2 linked regions of the Drosophila melanogaster genome follow. The protein of the gene in region 2 interacts with the protein of the main gene of each other region in a pairwise test. Each region holds a gene or a part of one and is shown on either strand. Other genes may lie near its edges.

Region 1 (7,610 bases), on a different chromosome or scaffold from region 2:
AAATAAACCCGAAATGATTAAGCTTTTCCCGCAACCAATTTTCCACGTGTCTTCCGATTCATCGCATTGTGTAGAATTTTGTCACAGCTCAGACTGTCGTGTTCAGCTGTTGTTGATATGTTGATATTACTCATCGAATATTCGGACAAAGATCAACCTGCTTAACATTTTTACACTGAATGTTCAATGAATTGACCGACGAGCGAGCGTCGTCGTCAGCAAAAACTCGCATGACTGAAATGCAAATATGAACAAATAAAGCAAATAAATAAATGCTATAAACAAATGAGACGCTGCGAGTGGCGTGCTTGAAATACAAACCCATGAAAACCGAGAAAACCGGAAAGGAAAGGAAAAGAAAACACAACGCACGCTGCTAACTTGGCGGCATACACACAAATGCAAAATTATATTTGGCCATTGTTTTTGTCGAGTGGTGTGTACGTAAGCCAAAACCAAAATCCAAAACGAAAACTCACAAAGAAAACAGATCGGAACACGTTTTCGAAGGAGCCAGATTGGAGCAGAACAGCATGAGGTGAGCGGGGGCTTCAATCCCCACCCACTTTTCAAGTCCCAAAGCGGAATGATTCACGTTTGCCTGTCGCTGATGCCAAATCGCATTCGGTTGATGAATTTAAATTGTTCAGAACCGAATGTGTACACTACAACCAAAAAGGGGCAGCATGTACATACATACATATGTACATAAATATGTGCATTTTAGCAAAAAAAAAAAAAAGCCCCTCGAATTTCATAATCGCTTTAGCAGTGCCCAACTATGCCGTGTTTTCTTAATTCTAATTGAATAATTACCTTTTACTTGTGACACTGCAAAAATTGAGATATTATCATCAAGTTTGGTATGTTTATAGAGAATGGGCTTAGCCATGTTTTCACTATATATTTATTTTTATTTTACTTTAACAATTCAATTGAGCAGCGCTGATACTCGACGCACCTTAGTCATCAAAACCACATTTATGCCGCTTTCCATCCATCGCTTGGGTGCGATGCTCAGTTTCCTGCGAATTGTTGTCGCCTCGTCAAACAAATATTAAATTATTGATTGACAAGTCCTCAACCCCTTCCATTTTCCATCATTTTCCCACTTTTGCACCGCCATCAGCGGCAAACTGAAAAGGTGAAAGTGAAAACTGCCATTTCTATTGTCGTTACTCTCTTTTTGTTTGTGCAAAACAATTTAACAATTTATGTGTAAATTTTCACAACGGAAGTGGTTGAAACTTATGTGTAGGGGCCACCAGAGCGGCAACGGCAAAAATAACGAACAAAAGCTATAGTTTAGTTGAACTTATAAGGTCATTGTCATATTTGGTCATCTGGTCGAGCATATTTGTAGTGGATGAGTCACTGCCAAACAGATACGCTCCTTTGCTAAAACACTTTTCCCAGAAACCAGAAATGTCTAGAGACATCTCTATATATATCTATCGAAATCTTTTTAAGTGTATCTAATCGTTTCCGAGAAGATTTGCTACCTAAGTGTTAGGTATATGGCACCAAATCAGAAGAATTTGATGAATAACCTACATAGAAACTGAAGTCTAGCCAAAGGTATGGGATATAAGCGTTTAATCTAAATTAGCATGCCTGACATCATCAGCTAGCCTGGCAAAGCCATAATCCGAGGCTCACCTTGGTAACTGAACTCTAATCTGCGAAAGAAATTCCATTTTTGTGGCACTCCCTCGCCCATTTCTGCAGAGTTCCGCTGAGAACTTAGCGTTTCAATGGTCTGTGCTAAGTAAGGAAACATTGGGGAACAAATTGAACATTCCTTTATAAGTCAATTATGATTAATAAACCTAATCAGCCCGATTAGTACGGGAGTGGGAAAAAGTTCGCAGACGAATCTAATCAAGATTTGGTGACCTCAGGTAGTAAGAGTACCATGTATTTTTCAAAAACAGTACATTATTTGCTGATTAAATGTCTTCACAGGCGGAAATGCGATTGTTTTGGGTTATCTCTGGGGTGAATTTTGAATTACTGACCAGCGGCGAAGGGCTCTAGTGAAACATTTCGTTTGGGAGCGTCGCTTGTTGCCAGGACAGAAGCCATTTGCGAAGAGCCGGTTCACACATGCCTCCCTTTCCCCTCACTCCCTCTCTCTCTCTCACTCTCTCTTTGCGTCTCTCTCTTTTGGGCACACGCCCAAGACAATAAAACAGCAGATAATAAACAGAACAGAAAAACAAATCGAATCGAATCGGTTGGAATCGGTTCGGTTCGCGGGAATTTCAAGAACAAAATAAAAGCCAGCAGCACCATTTAACTCTGCTTATTTTGCGGTTGCCTTTGCCCATCAAACAAACTTAATTAAATATGCAAATAATTTGCGTGCTTTCGTGCTCTTTTTTATGCTTCGATTGTATTGCATAATGCACAAAATTCGGAGATTAATGGATTTGGGAAGTCTCAAAAACTGGGACTCGGTCGAATCCGAAAGTAATTTATCGCAAAGTTTGTTGAAAACTGTTTTCGATCTCGGCTGTGGGAATTGACGGGGAAGCGGGAAAAGAGAAAGCCCATTTATGTGGATAACAAATGGCTAAAGCCGAATTGATCAGTCATTGAGTGATTGACAGTCAAGCCGCTTCAGCATAAAGAAAAGTGGTAATTACGAAATGCGAAAGATCATGGTGGAAATTAATTACTTTACAGAAGGGGAATATTGTATTATTGTTAATTTCACTTCCCAAAAGAGCATAAGTTCAGATTAACACTTTAATTAAAAGAAAAGAAAACAATAAAATGAATACTCAGTATTAGTGTTTACATTATTTATCTGGTCCGAATACTATTACTTCCCTATATCAACAGGAATTAAATAAAAGATTTCGTTTATTTCGATTAAAATGAATGCCGTGATTTTCAGTATTTTGTATCATGCTAATCGCCTTTTTGATACCCCTCTGGCTAGATAGCAAGTACAATGCCCTAGTCTGCTCCCTCATAATCCAGCATTTTTATACTCCACCCACCGGCCACCTGCTCTTTGACGTCATCGCAGACCGAAGTCTAGGTCTTCGCACTCTTGTGGGCTTTCGGAAACTCAAAATGTATTCACATTGGTGGCGGGGTGGTATTCAAGTGTTTTGGCGCCGTTGGCAACAAAGTGAGCAAAAGCAAATACTTTTCCATGCTCGTGGCCGTTTTTGAAAATCAAATCAAATGAGCAAACAGAAATGAGAGCGGTTTAATCATTTGGACTAACGAAATATATTTATCTGAAATTTTTAATATGCATATGCGAACGATGCGATCCCACAGAATCATAAATAAAATCATCAGTTGTCACAGGCCAAAAGAGATTAGTCGAGGGAGCGGGGGGAGGAGGCTGATCTGCACACGAAATTAAATAAATAATATAAACACTGTGCCAGAAATAGCTGACAAGCAAACGAGACCAGCGACCAAGAAAGCTACACTGAACAAAAGTGGAATTTACATTATCCACATTATATCACACAATAACTTTCAGTAAGTAATTTAAGATATTCCAGCTTTATTGATTTAAAACTTTATTAAATTCCACAAGCCCTATACTTTTCGTTCTGTGTAGAGATAGCCTCGCTATAAATGCCTATTCTTTTCATTTTCCGTCCGCTTACATTTATCATGCCCGCTGAATTTAATTCAATTGCTGACAAAAACGTGTTGTTGTGGATTCAACCGTGCCTGTCTCCGAACAACAACAACAAATGCAACCAACTATGATGACAACAAACAGGAAGATGAGCCCATAGAAAGCCAACTTGCCCAAGACGATCTCACACACAAGTGTGCAGCTAAGTGAATTGATCAACGGGCGCATTGGAGGAGGGGGAAGTGTGATTGTTGCCAAGCCACAAGACGCATTCCCTGCTATTATGTACTGAATTGAAGTCGCTATTAACGTTAATTGTGTCATGCATTTGTCGATGGGGCGGGGGGAGTCGGTGGCTTTAACAAATGGTAATCAAAGTGCAATGACAGGGAAAGTCAGCGATTTTGAGGCGCGAATTCAACTGGCGAGGTGATATGACAGCAGAGGCCAAACTGGTTCTGTTTAAGTAATTACCAAAGTAAAATATTTCTTAATAACTTTATTCTTTCTCAGATGTTTGTAGCTGAAATGAACAAAGGCTCCCTACAGACATACATATGTACGTACATATATATTGGATTCACTTTTATCTGCTGACCAGCTTTTATTTAAACCCATTTCGGTTCACAACAGATATTAATGCCTTGTGGGGCGAGCCAAAAATGAGGTTCTTGAGGCCCGAAAAAGTTTGGATCAATGTTTTTTCCGCATAAAAAATAAGCAGGCAGGCCAACACACACGCACACACACGTTCGTGGGTCGCAGGTACGTGCGGGCGTGTGGTTGTGAGTGTGTTGGCCTGGTTGAGAGTACACTTAAATAAACAATTCTGAACCAAAAACAATATTCGGCACGCACTCACCTTTGCAACAACAGTTATGAAGGTGCAGCAGCCACCCGCTCTCTCGCTGACCGCTTTGCACGCTCTCTGCCTCGCGCTCTCTTCTCGCTTTTTGGCTGCTGCAGCGCTTGATTTTTATGCACACATCAATTTTCAAACTGCGACGCCCTTTTTTCCGATTTTCTCTCTCACCTATAAAACAACAACTGCCGCACTCAGCACACACACGCACACACTCTGTTAACAACAATTTGGCTCTTCACTTTTTGTGTATTAGATTTTCCTCTTTGATTTTCCTTTCGCTCTGCGCACCTCGTGAAAAATACTGTTACTCGGCTGGACAATCAGCGATACTTGTTGTAAAGCAGCGGACGTCGCTTCTTACATTTAATTGGCTGCCCTTTCGACTTGTCTGCGCTGCCAGTTGCTGCACTTTACTTTTGTTTGACTTGACGCCTCCGTCTGCTCTTCGCCTTCGTCTTCGTTCCGCTTTATCCGACACACGACCAACCGCCGCTAAAAATCAACACAAAGTAAGTGTGGTCGACGCCTTCTTGACGAAGAAAACCAGAGTCCGAAAGTGTCAGCAGCTGGTCACACCGCCAAACGGTCCCGCTGGCTTGGAACCGTGCTGCCAGACCGTTTTCATATTTTCATATTGATATTATAATATTGATATTGATAATATAAATATTTTATTCATAGCAATCAAGCTATCATCCATAGTACACATCAGCTTTATCAGTTCTTTTTTATCTTGGTTTGATATTTTCGATGCATTTTGTTTACAACCTAAACAAATTTTTATTTCCATTGATACCACGGAAATAATTTGAAATTTAGAACTTAAAAATAAAAGGAAAAATAACTTGTAAGTTGGAATAAATAAAGCACGGTCTTTAAAGCAAGAAAGTGTTAAATATATATATTTCAATTTGAGTCTATGATTAACGCTAATTTATGCTTATGGGTCCACTTTCGATCACGAGTTGTTCACACTAATGGATACAATCGCGGAATGGGCACACTGAATATTGTTTAGCGGACAGTGGACCAAAGCCAATTCGAATCAATGGAATATCCTGATATCAGGCATATGTTAAAACTAAGTAACGGAATGGTCAATGCGTAAATTGCTTTCGTATGTGTGTTTATTTTACGCCCTTACGTCGCTAATTTCTGAATTAAATAGCTCAAAAATATTCATATGTATCATGTAAAAATTTAAAAAATCTGCAAATAGATTGCATGTATCCCGTTAAAGATAGTAAGAAGTCCAGAAAAGAGAAATGCATTCAGCGATCAATTTTGCATGGACTTACCAATGTCTTCCACAATTTTATGCTTTTATTTTTTAATCGCTTTGAATTATTTCTCAAGTAACGCAATTTTGAGAAAAATCACACCATTAAATCGTGGTGAACAATCGAATATTCGATTCCATTTTAGCGTTAGGCATTTTTCCGCCACCCGTTAGGGATTCTCCGTTTCCCTTTTGTGTTTTTGTTTCTTTCTTTCGCTGGAACATAACGGACGTGTCGTTGCGTCGTCTTCCTCGTCGCGCGCGTGTGTGTGTGGTGTATGTGTGTACTGAAACATTTTGGGGTCGTAGCAAATCGGAGAAAAATTCTTAATTATACAATACAATACTCGTGCTTGTTCTCGCAGCGAATCGAAGTGATCCAATTGTGAGATTTGGCTGCAAAGGAAGAATACGAAAAGTTAGCTAAATTACGTGAGTAGCCAGAGTGTGAGTGTGTGAGCCAGAGCGAGGCGGCAAATCAGTATGGCGTGAAAGAGCTGCAAAATGTAATTTGCTGTGAATACCTCTGTGTGTTCGTGCCTGTGTTTAGTGTGCATGTGTGCTAAAACAAATGCCTAAATTGCAACAAAGAAAATTGTATGAAATATACGAAGCGAAGAGCAGAGCGAAAGCGACGATGAAAAAGAGGCTGCTGCTTGAAAAATAAGAAGAGGTGGAGGAGCAAGAAGAAGAGCAGCAGCAGCCGTCGCGAGTTTTTTACACGCGTGTGTTAGTGTGCATACAATTGTGTATGAAAAAGAATAAAAGCTAATCTAAAGTGTCAAACGTAATCTTGTATATCTCCGTGTTTCTTGCAGCGCTTGACAACGAAATTTATATTACATAGTAAATGCGAAATACAACAAAGGTTAATCATATTGCTTAATCAGAGTACTGCGGTTTCAAACGTCTTCGTCTTCCCCATCTTCTAAACTGGAATGCAACCAACACCAAACAACCAAAACCCACAACAACAACAACAAGATCGAATGGAGTAAAACAGAAACCAAGAACCTTTAAAGAGAGCAGTGAGAGAGAGGCGTCGGCTAACGGCTAATCAATTGACAAAGCGCAAAGAGAGAGGGAGAAGAAGCAGAGCGCTGAGTGCGCGAAATGTGAGTAATATATTTTAAACCGAACGCGAAATAAGAACTTAAATCAGCGAAGAACTCTTCTGAAAATGTGTAATATTAACGGCGGTGTGTTCACTGGTCCTACTGTTTGCCTCTCCGATAAGAGCGGAAGTGTAATATTATACTCAGACGTTGTGAAAAGTCAAACGTATTTATTTATCGGTTTCCCATGTGCCGGATACTCCGCAATCTGGGCCAGTTAATTATAACGTGTGGGAAGACAGTGGGCGCTCGCCCTTAGACAAGTGTCATATAAGGGCTATAAATTTAAAGTGGATATTTTATAAGCAGTCGTTTGACAACTATGTTTATTTGCTTCAAGCTCACAAGTATTAAACGCAGTGTTTAGAACAGATTTTGCAGATTTTAAACAACGTAAAAATTTTTTTGACACGGTCACAACGTAACTTTGTGTCAAATTAATAAATATAAGATCTTAGTTTGTCAGAATGTTGTAAACATTGTTGTTTTTAAATGATTAAACTGGTTAAAAATGATTTCTCATTTTGTCTACTAATATGATTAGTAACAAGGTTTTCAACTAAAATGCTCATGTACTGACTGAATTATGATGAGAAATGGGTTGCTAATGAATAAACATTGCCATTTAAATAGTCATGCGAGTTCCAACAGGGCTCACTAATTTACCAGTGATTTCTGTGATTTTGGTTACGTCCATAAAAAGTTTTAAATGCTGTCAGTGGTAGCAAACACAATCCA
Region 2 (5,992 bases):
GATATCCCCCAAACGCGAAGCTACTGCTCCAGAGTCCGGAGACGATGATAAGCGGGAGCGAACATGGGTGCGCTAATTGCGGAATGATAAAACCACCAAGTAGTAGGTATCCAAGTCGGCTACCATGGGTACTACCTCCCGCCCGCCTTGAATTGATAACAGCCCCAGGGGCTAAGACCACGAAAATGTTCCACCAACCCGGTTGGTATTGCCAGGATTTTGGATTGCGTTAAAAATAAAAAGCGCCCCGGAGGTTATCCAGAGTTGCCAAGCCAAATGTCGAAATACTCTATCTAAATGTTACATTCTTATTTATTACAGTGAAATTTTTAACTAAACTTCTATATACGATATTCATAGGGTAAACAAAAGTATAAAAGCTAGAAAGTTGACAGAGTAGCGGGTATCTGATAGTTTAGAGATTGCACTATAGGTGTACTTCTTGTTGTTAATGTAACTATAGTTTGTTTTAATCGAAAGGCAATTTTGTCATTACAAAAAGGAACATTTTCTAGTATTATTTTAAAATCATACCAAATGTAAGAATTCTAAACCAAGTCGAGTACCAAGCCCTTTGTATTTAACATGATGAAGTCATAAAACTCTCTGCAAGGTTTTGACAATTAAATAAAATAGGAATTTGTATCTCTGCGCACTTTGTTATTGCCAGCGTTTTCGACTCGTATTTGCCTAAACCGGCCCCTCAGGAATACCAGAAAGCTCCTGAACCCCAACACGTTGCTACAGAGTTCTGCGATGGATGGGGTAGGGCATCAAGGATGTTACTCCGGGATTCTCCGGGTTGTTGGCAGCTTCGAGCGTATTACATAAAATAAGAAAAATTATGATTTCCGCAGGAGGGTGGGGGGAGGGGGGGGAGTGGAAAGTGGAAAGCGTGTACATTTCGGAGGGGCTGGCTGTTGCTTAACTGTCAAAATCGTGTAATTTAATAAAGTTCGCTGCGGGATATTGTTTTTTATAGAAGCCAGAGCAGGACTGAGACAGCTTTTGCCAGCTGCCAAACGGGGAGTGGCTGCTGTTTTTCACGGAAGGGGGGGGGGGGGTGGTGGTGGGGAGAACGTGGAAATGGGGCTCCTAAAGTGTGCTGCACAAACAAAAAATATTCAGTTCACTTCAGTTACATACGGCATATTGCAACAACGCAATGCTGTCTTGTTGCCCGCCACAGGCACTCCACAAACACACTCAAGGGGGGGTCTATCTAGTATACCCTACATATATATATATAGATATATATATATAGAAAAATATACATCCCTATGTATGAAGAGAGCTGCGAAAAGTTTTTATACATTCCACTTGTTTACTTCAAAGCAGCGAAAAAAGTTCTTACTTTGCGAAATACACAAAACTTGTGCGTCGTGGTAAGTGGAAACCAAATAAATGTTAGACTAAATAAATAAATATTACTTCAAGTTTTATATTCCAGTCCTCAAATCCACTTAACATCTTTAAGCGTACAAAATATTTTAAAAAGATGTGTATTTATGAATCAATAATAAAAATAAAACGCAACTAACACAAGGAATATTCACTTTTATAAAAAATGGGAAATACATTTATATGTTAGGACTTCCTAGGATTTCAAAAATTTTACTGCTTTTATTTTATTTTTAAAGTTTATTTTATGTTTAATCTTGTATACTTTTCATATAAGAAGTTACAGGTAAAAATTAGTACCGTTTCCAAGCCTATAAAGAACTTGTATAGCATTCTAAGATACAATTTCATTTTCACACTCATTGAATTTTAAAGCAATGATAATTTCATAATTTTGTAAAATATTTAATACAAGACATTCCTTAAATCCCACCTTTATATTCCTTAACAAAGCTAATTCAGTTTTATACATGTACATATATGTGATTCATAGCTACAACATGATTCTCCCACAAATTGGGCTTTAAGGTAGAATTTCTTGAAACATACTACTTCCAGTTTCGTACAATAATTGTCTTAGATTTCACATATATGGCTTAAAACCAACCTGAATGGCGCCTTAACAAAGCCAGTCCCAGATGTCTTTCTATTCTCAGCTGACGTCCCCAACCATTTGTGTGCCGTTTCTTTTTACGAAGCGAAATTCCTATTTTATTTTATTAGCAGCGAAGAAATATAAAAGTAAACAGTTGGCTCCAAAAACACACATGACTGTGTACACCCTCCTGCCGAAGTAAAAAACGCCCCACGCCTCCCCTGTTTGCCGCGTCATATGAACGCCCCATTATTTACTTAACATAACTTGAACATTCGCCTTCAACCCCCCACAAAAAAAGAAAAGAAAAGAAAGCTCTTCAAGGGGGAGCATCAAAGTTCTAAAAAAAAAAAAAGGAAAGAGAAAAAGGAAAATTCGAAGGTGGGTGGTTAGAAAATGGTGGGGAGGTCGTCGCTTGGCTTACCTGCCAACCAACCAACCAGCCAGCCGGCAGTTGGCTAGTCAAAAAGCTGTCGTCGATGCTAAGCGCAGACCCAGAAAGTCATCAAATATGCAGAAGGTGGAAATGTGCAGGGAGGCTCCACCATTTCACTACCATTTGCTATCCCAACTCCCCGTCAACCGAAAACGGAAAAATGGCGAAAAAATGATTTATGTGGACGCCATGGAGGAACGGAGTGGACGGCAACGAAAAGCCAACAATAACCGGGAAAAATAACAGAATCAACTGATTTCTCAACTTGGCTCTGAGCCTGCTTTTGTTTGCCAGACTTTCGACGGAGAGTGCGGAGCGGGGGGCCTTGGATAGACCCACAATTTTACCTTCCATTCGGGACTTCATTCTTGTTTTTGCCGCAATGAAAAATGCTGAAAGTGTGCTCCACAGACAGCGGACTCCAATGGTATTGGGGTCACCGAGAAGGTATAAGATATTGATGTACCCAGGGGAGCTGCTTTTCCTGTACAGCTCTATTTTTGGAAAAATAACAAGATCCTCATAGAGAAGCTGCATGGGATATTAGTTTTCATCGGAAGCTCTATTTATGCAGTAAGCTTTCATATATATGTATATATGCTCTAATAATAAACAAGGAAGCCCTACCATATTTGTCAAATTCAACTCGATAATTCATTTACATTCCGTTCCTTAAACATATAACAAGGACACCAATTTCGGTCCGAAATTCAAAATTCAAAAAAAAAAAAAAAGGTGAGGACATAAATTATTTCAATATAGCTTTTCTATATAGTATATATACTTCTTTTCACACAGATGTCCGATATCAATTTGACTGCCTATAACGCCTTTCGCCGCGATTTGGCCAGGATATACAAGACATTCAGTTCGTATACTCAAACCGATTTTACTGAGGATTATGGCACCAACACAGACTTCGATTGCCCAGCCGATGTGGAATCAAATCTTTCCAAACTTTACGATCTCGAACTGGAATAGTAGTTGCATGTGGTAGAAGAGAGTTTATCCGATTGAGATGGAGAACAGGGTCAAGGGAACGCACTCGGAGATCTGTATGGAATCTAGCAGAATAAGGCATCTGCAACCGCTCAGATCGCGATCCCAGGATAACGGAATCAGATTATTAGCCGCAAGAAGCGATTTGGCGATGACACCATGGTCTCTACCATCGGAATCTCCATCTGAATCGGATGAATCCGAATCCCAAATCTCAGGTTACACCACAGAGAGTAGCTACCGAACGGTGCCTGGTTACGAGCTCCTTTCGCAAAGTAGTTCGTATGCCAGCAGACAAAATCCCTACGCGTATCCGCCAGCGGACTTCCTCTGGGAGATCTACGTGCCCATCCATAGTGGAGCCACTGAGGAGGACATCCAGACCGTTCATGGGGAGTTGCGGGAATTGCTGGCCAGCGAGATGCATTTAATCAGAGGCGCAAATGGACCAGTGATCTATCTAATTGCATACAGCTACATGTGATCACTTCTTACACATTTAAAATATATAAACCACAATAAAAATAATTATTCAATCCCCATTTGCAGCATACAGATTTATTATTCCATTTAATATATTTTTTTGAGTTATAAAAATATTGACCTCCGGCAAATCCAGTCCACAAAACATACCAATATCTTCAAAGCGAATTGAGCTCTTTTAAAAAGTCATCTACTTAATCACTTTTTCGACTACAAATGATGGGCTTGCCAAACTTCGTTCAGCCTTTTCAATGGACAATCAGTTCTCGAGTGAAGTGTTTGCTTGTACTGCGTGATCTGCGCCTGTTGACATTATGACAAATTACATAAGCCAAAGGCAACAATTGCCGGAACCCATTCCGGAAACGCGGGGAAGGAAGGAAAGAGGGAAGGAAGGAAGGGGGAACAAACCGAAAACGGATACGCTTAGAAGGACTTGGAGTGGTGGGGGGTTTTAGGGGGTGGTTCGGGCTGTAGGCACGTTAATAGGAAAGCCACACAAGAACTGCTAACGAAGGACACGCGGCCGGCGGTTGAGCGACAAGTGCGTTGGGAAGAATTCCAGTCACACACAGGACACAAGGACAACGAGGTCCTGGCAGCGGGGTGGATCGTCTGTTTGCCGAGCACTAAGTGCGCCGGGCAAGTGGAAATGATAAACATATTTACACAATTTTTGACGGGCGAACGGGTGAAACAAAACACCCGTGGGTACAGTCGTACCCTTCACCCCTTCCCCCTCTCCCTCCACCACACCCTCCCCGCAGTTTTCCCATTTCTTCGCTTTTCTGGTGCGCGTACGCACTTGAAACAAGCGAAAGGAAAACCAAACCCAAACTCGATAAATATGTTTATGTGCAAATAACAAAATATTTGTCGATTGCCCGAAACGAGTGATGGGCGGGGTGATGGGCGGACTTTGGCTTCGGGGTAGGGCAGGCTCTAAAGGCAGAGGCAGCTCCAGGGTTTTCAGGGGTTCCAGGGGTTCCATGGGTTCGAAAGAAGCACCGCAAGCGCATAATTCAATTTTTCTGCTCGTTTTGCACATCGCCCGGCACACGTCACTCGAGTCCTTTGGGACACCGACGAACTGCCATGCTACACCAGCTAAGCCCAGCCCAGCTACACTGCGAGAAAAGTACACAACTACACTGCAACAAAAGAGCAGTAAATGAAACATGAAGGTTAGAAACAAGATTCAACATTACTAAAACTTCCAGTTTCATGAAGTGTGTAGTCAACCAGAACTCCAATCCTTTCCCTTGAAATGTGCCCAGATTTAATCATGATTAAAGTTCAGGTTGGTTAAGGTGTTTAAGATATCATACTGATATTATAATAATATATTATACTAAGAATACCTTAGATTTTCCGTTCCGCTTCAAATTGGACCTCTACCAAAAACGGGATAAGTCATTCCCGACTTACTGGATTTTTCCAAAGTGCACGCACTTTGTCAGGGATGCAGTGGATATTAGTGACACGTGGCGAAGGCTCGACCAAGGCGATCCGCAGGTCCCAGCACATGCGGTTTCCCGGATCCGTCCCCCCCCCCCCTCCTTTCCACCCAGGAATCTATATTTATTTGTTTGTAATTACGCGTGTTCTAAAAACGAAATCCCGCCGCACTTGAAGCCGGGAAAATGGCTAAACGGCTGAGCCTGCTCTTTTCAATGCCCGAAAACTTCGGCCGGGAACACACGTGCAGTGGACGACCGCCTCCACTGGTGACCGGGTATTCCCAGCGCATTAGCAACAATGCCGGAGACATTTGGAGTTTGTCAACAGTTTCGCATTGGATTTGGTTACGGCTTTGTTCTCATCAGCGGCGCGTGTCCCTGTCCGATGTCATCTTCTCCACTCTCGACGCGACTCAACGCGACTCGACGCGACTCGACTCGACTCCAATCCGCAGTCAGTTGTCAACTTTCTGGGCTGGCTTTTAGTCCGGGGATTGCCGATTGATTTGGCGTGGGATTTTCGAGTGCGGCACATGTATGAAACGAAATCATAAATGTGACAGGCCTGGATCATAAGCAACTCGCACAAAGAAATCCCTTTGACCATCCTTGAGCCAT

What was found.
Region 1: the proteins of CG17344 (region 2) and Dmtn interact in a two-hybrid assay, tested with the Drosophila melanogaster proteins (one large-scale study listed by BioGRID).

Annotation. Positions count from the first base shown.
Region 1 is NT_033777.3:6,400,903-6,408,512, forward strand, and holds the start of Dmtn (dementin), read right to left. Parts: upstream 4,994-7,610; 5' UTR 4,647-4,993; exon of another isoform or gene 4,582-4,646; 5' UTR 4,476-4,581; intron 1-4,475.
Region 2 is NT_033779.5:19,098,938-19,104,929, forward strand, and holds CG17344 (uncharacterized protein), read left to right. Parts: upstream 1-3,106; 5' UTR 3,107-3,167; intron 3,168-3,230; coding exon of another isoform or gene 3,231-3,413; 5' UTR 3,414-3,450; coding exon 3,451-3,915; 3' UTR 3,916-3,972; downstream 3,973-5,992. Other genes in the region: CG43731 (uncharacterized protein), read left to right, coding at 3,231-3,413.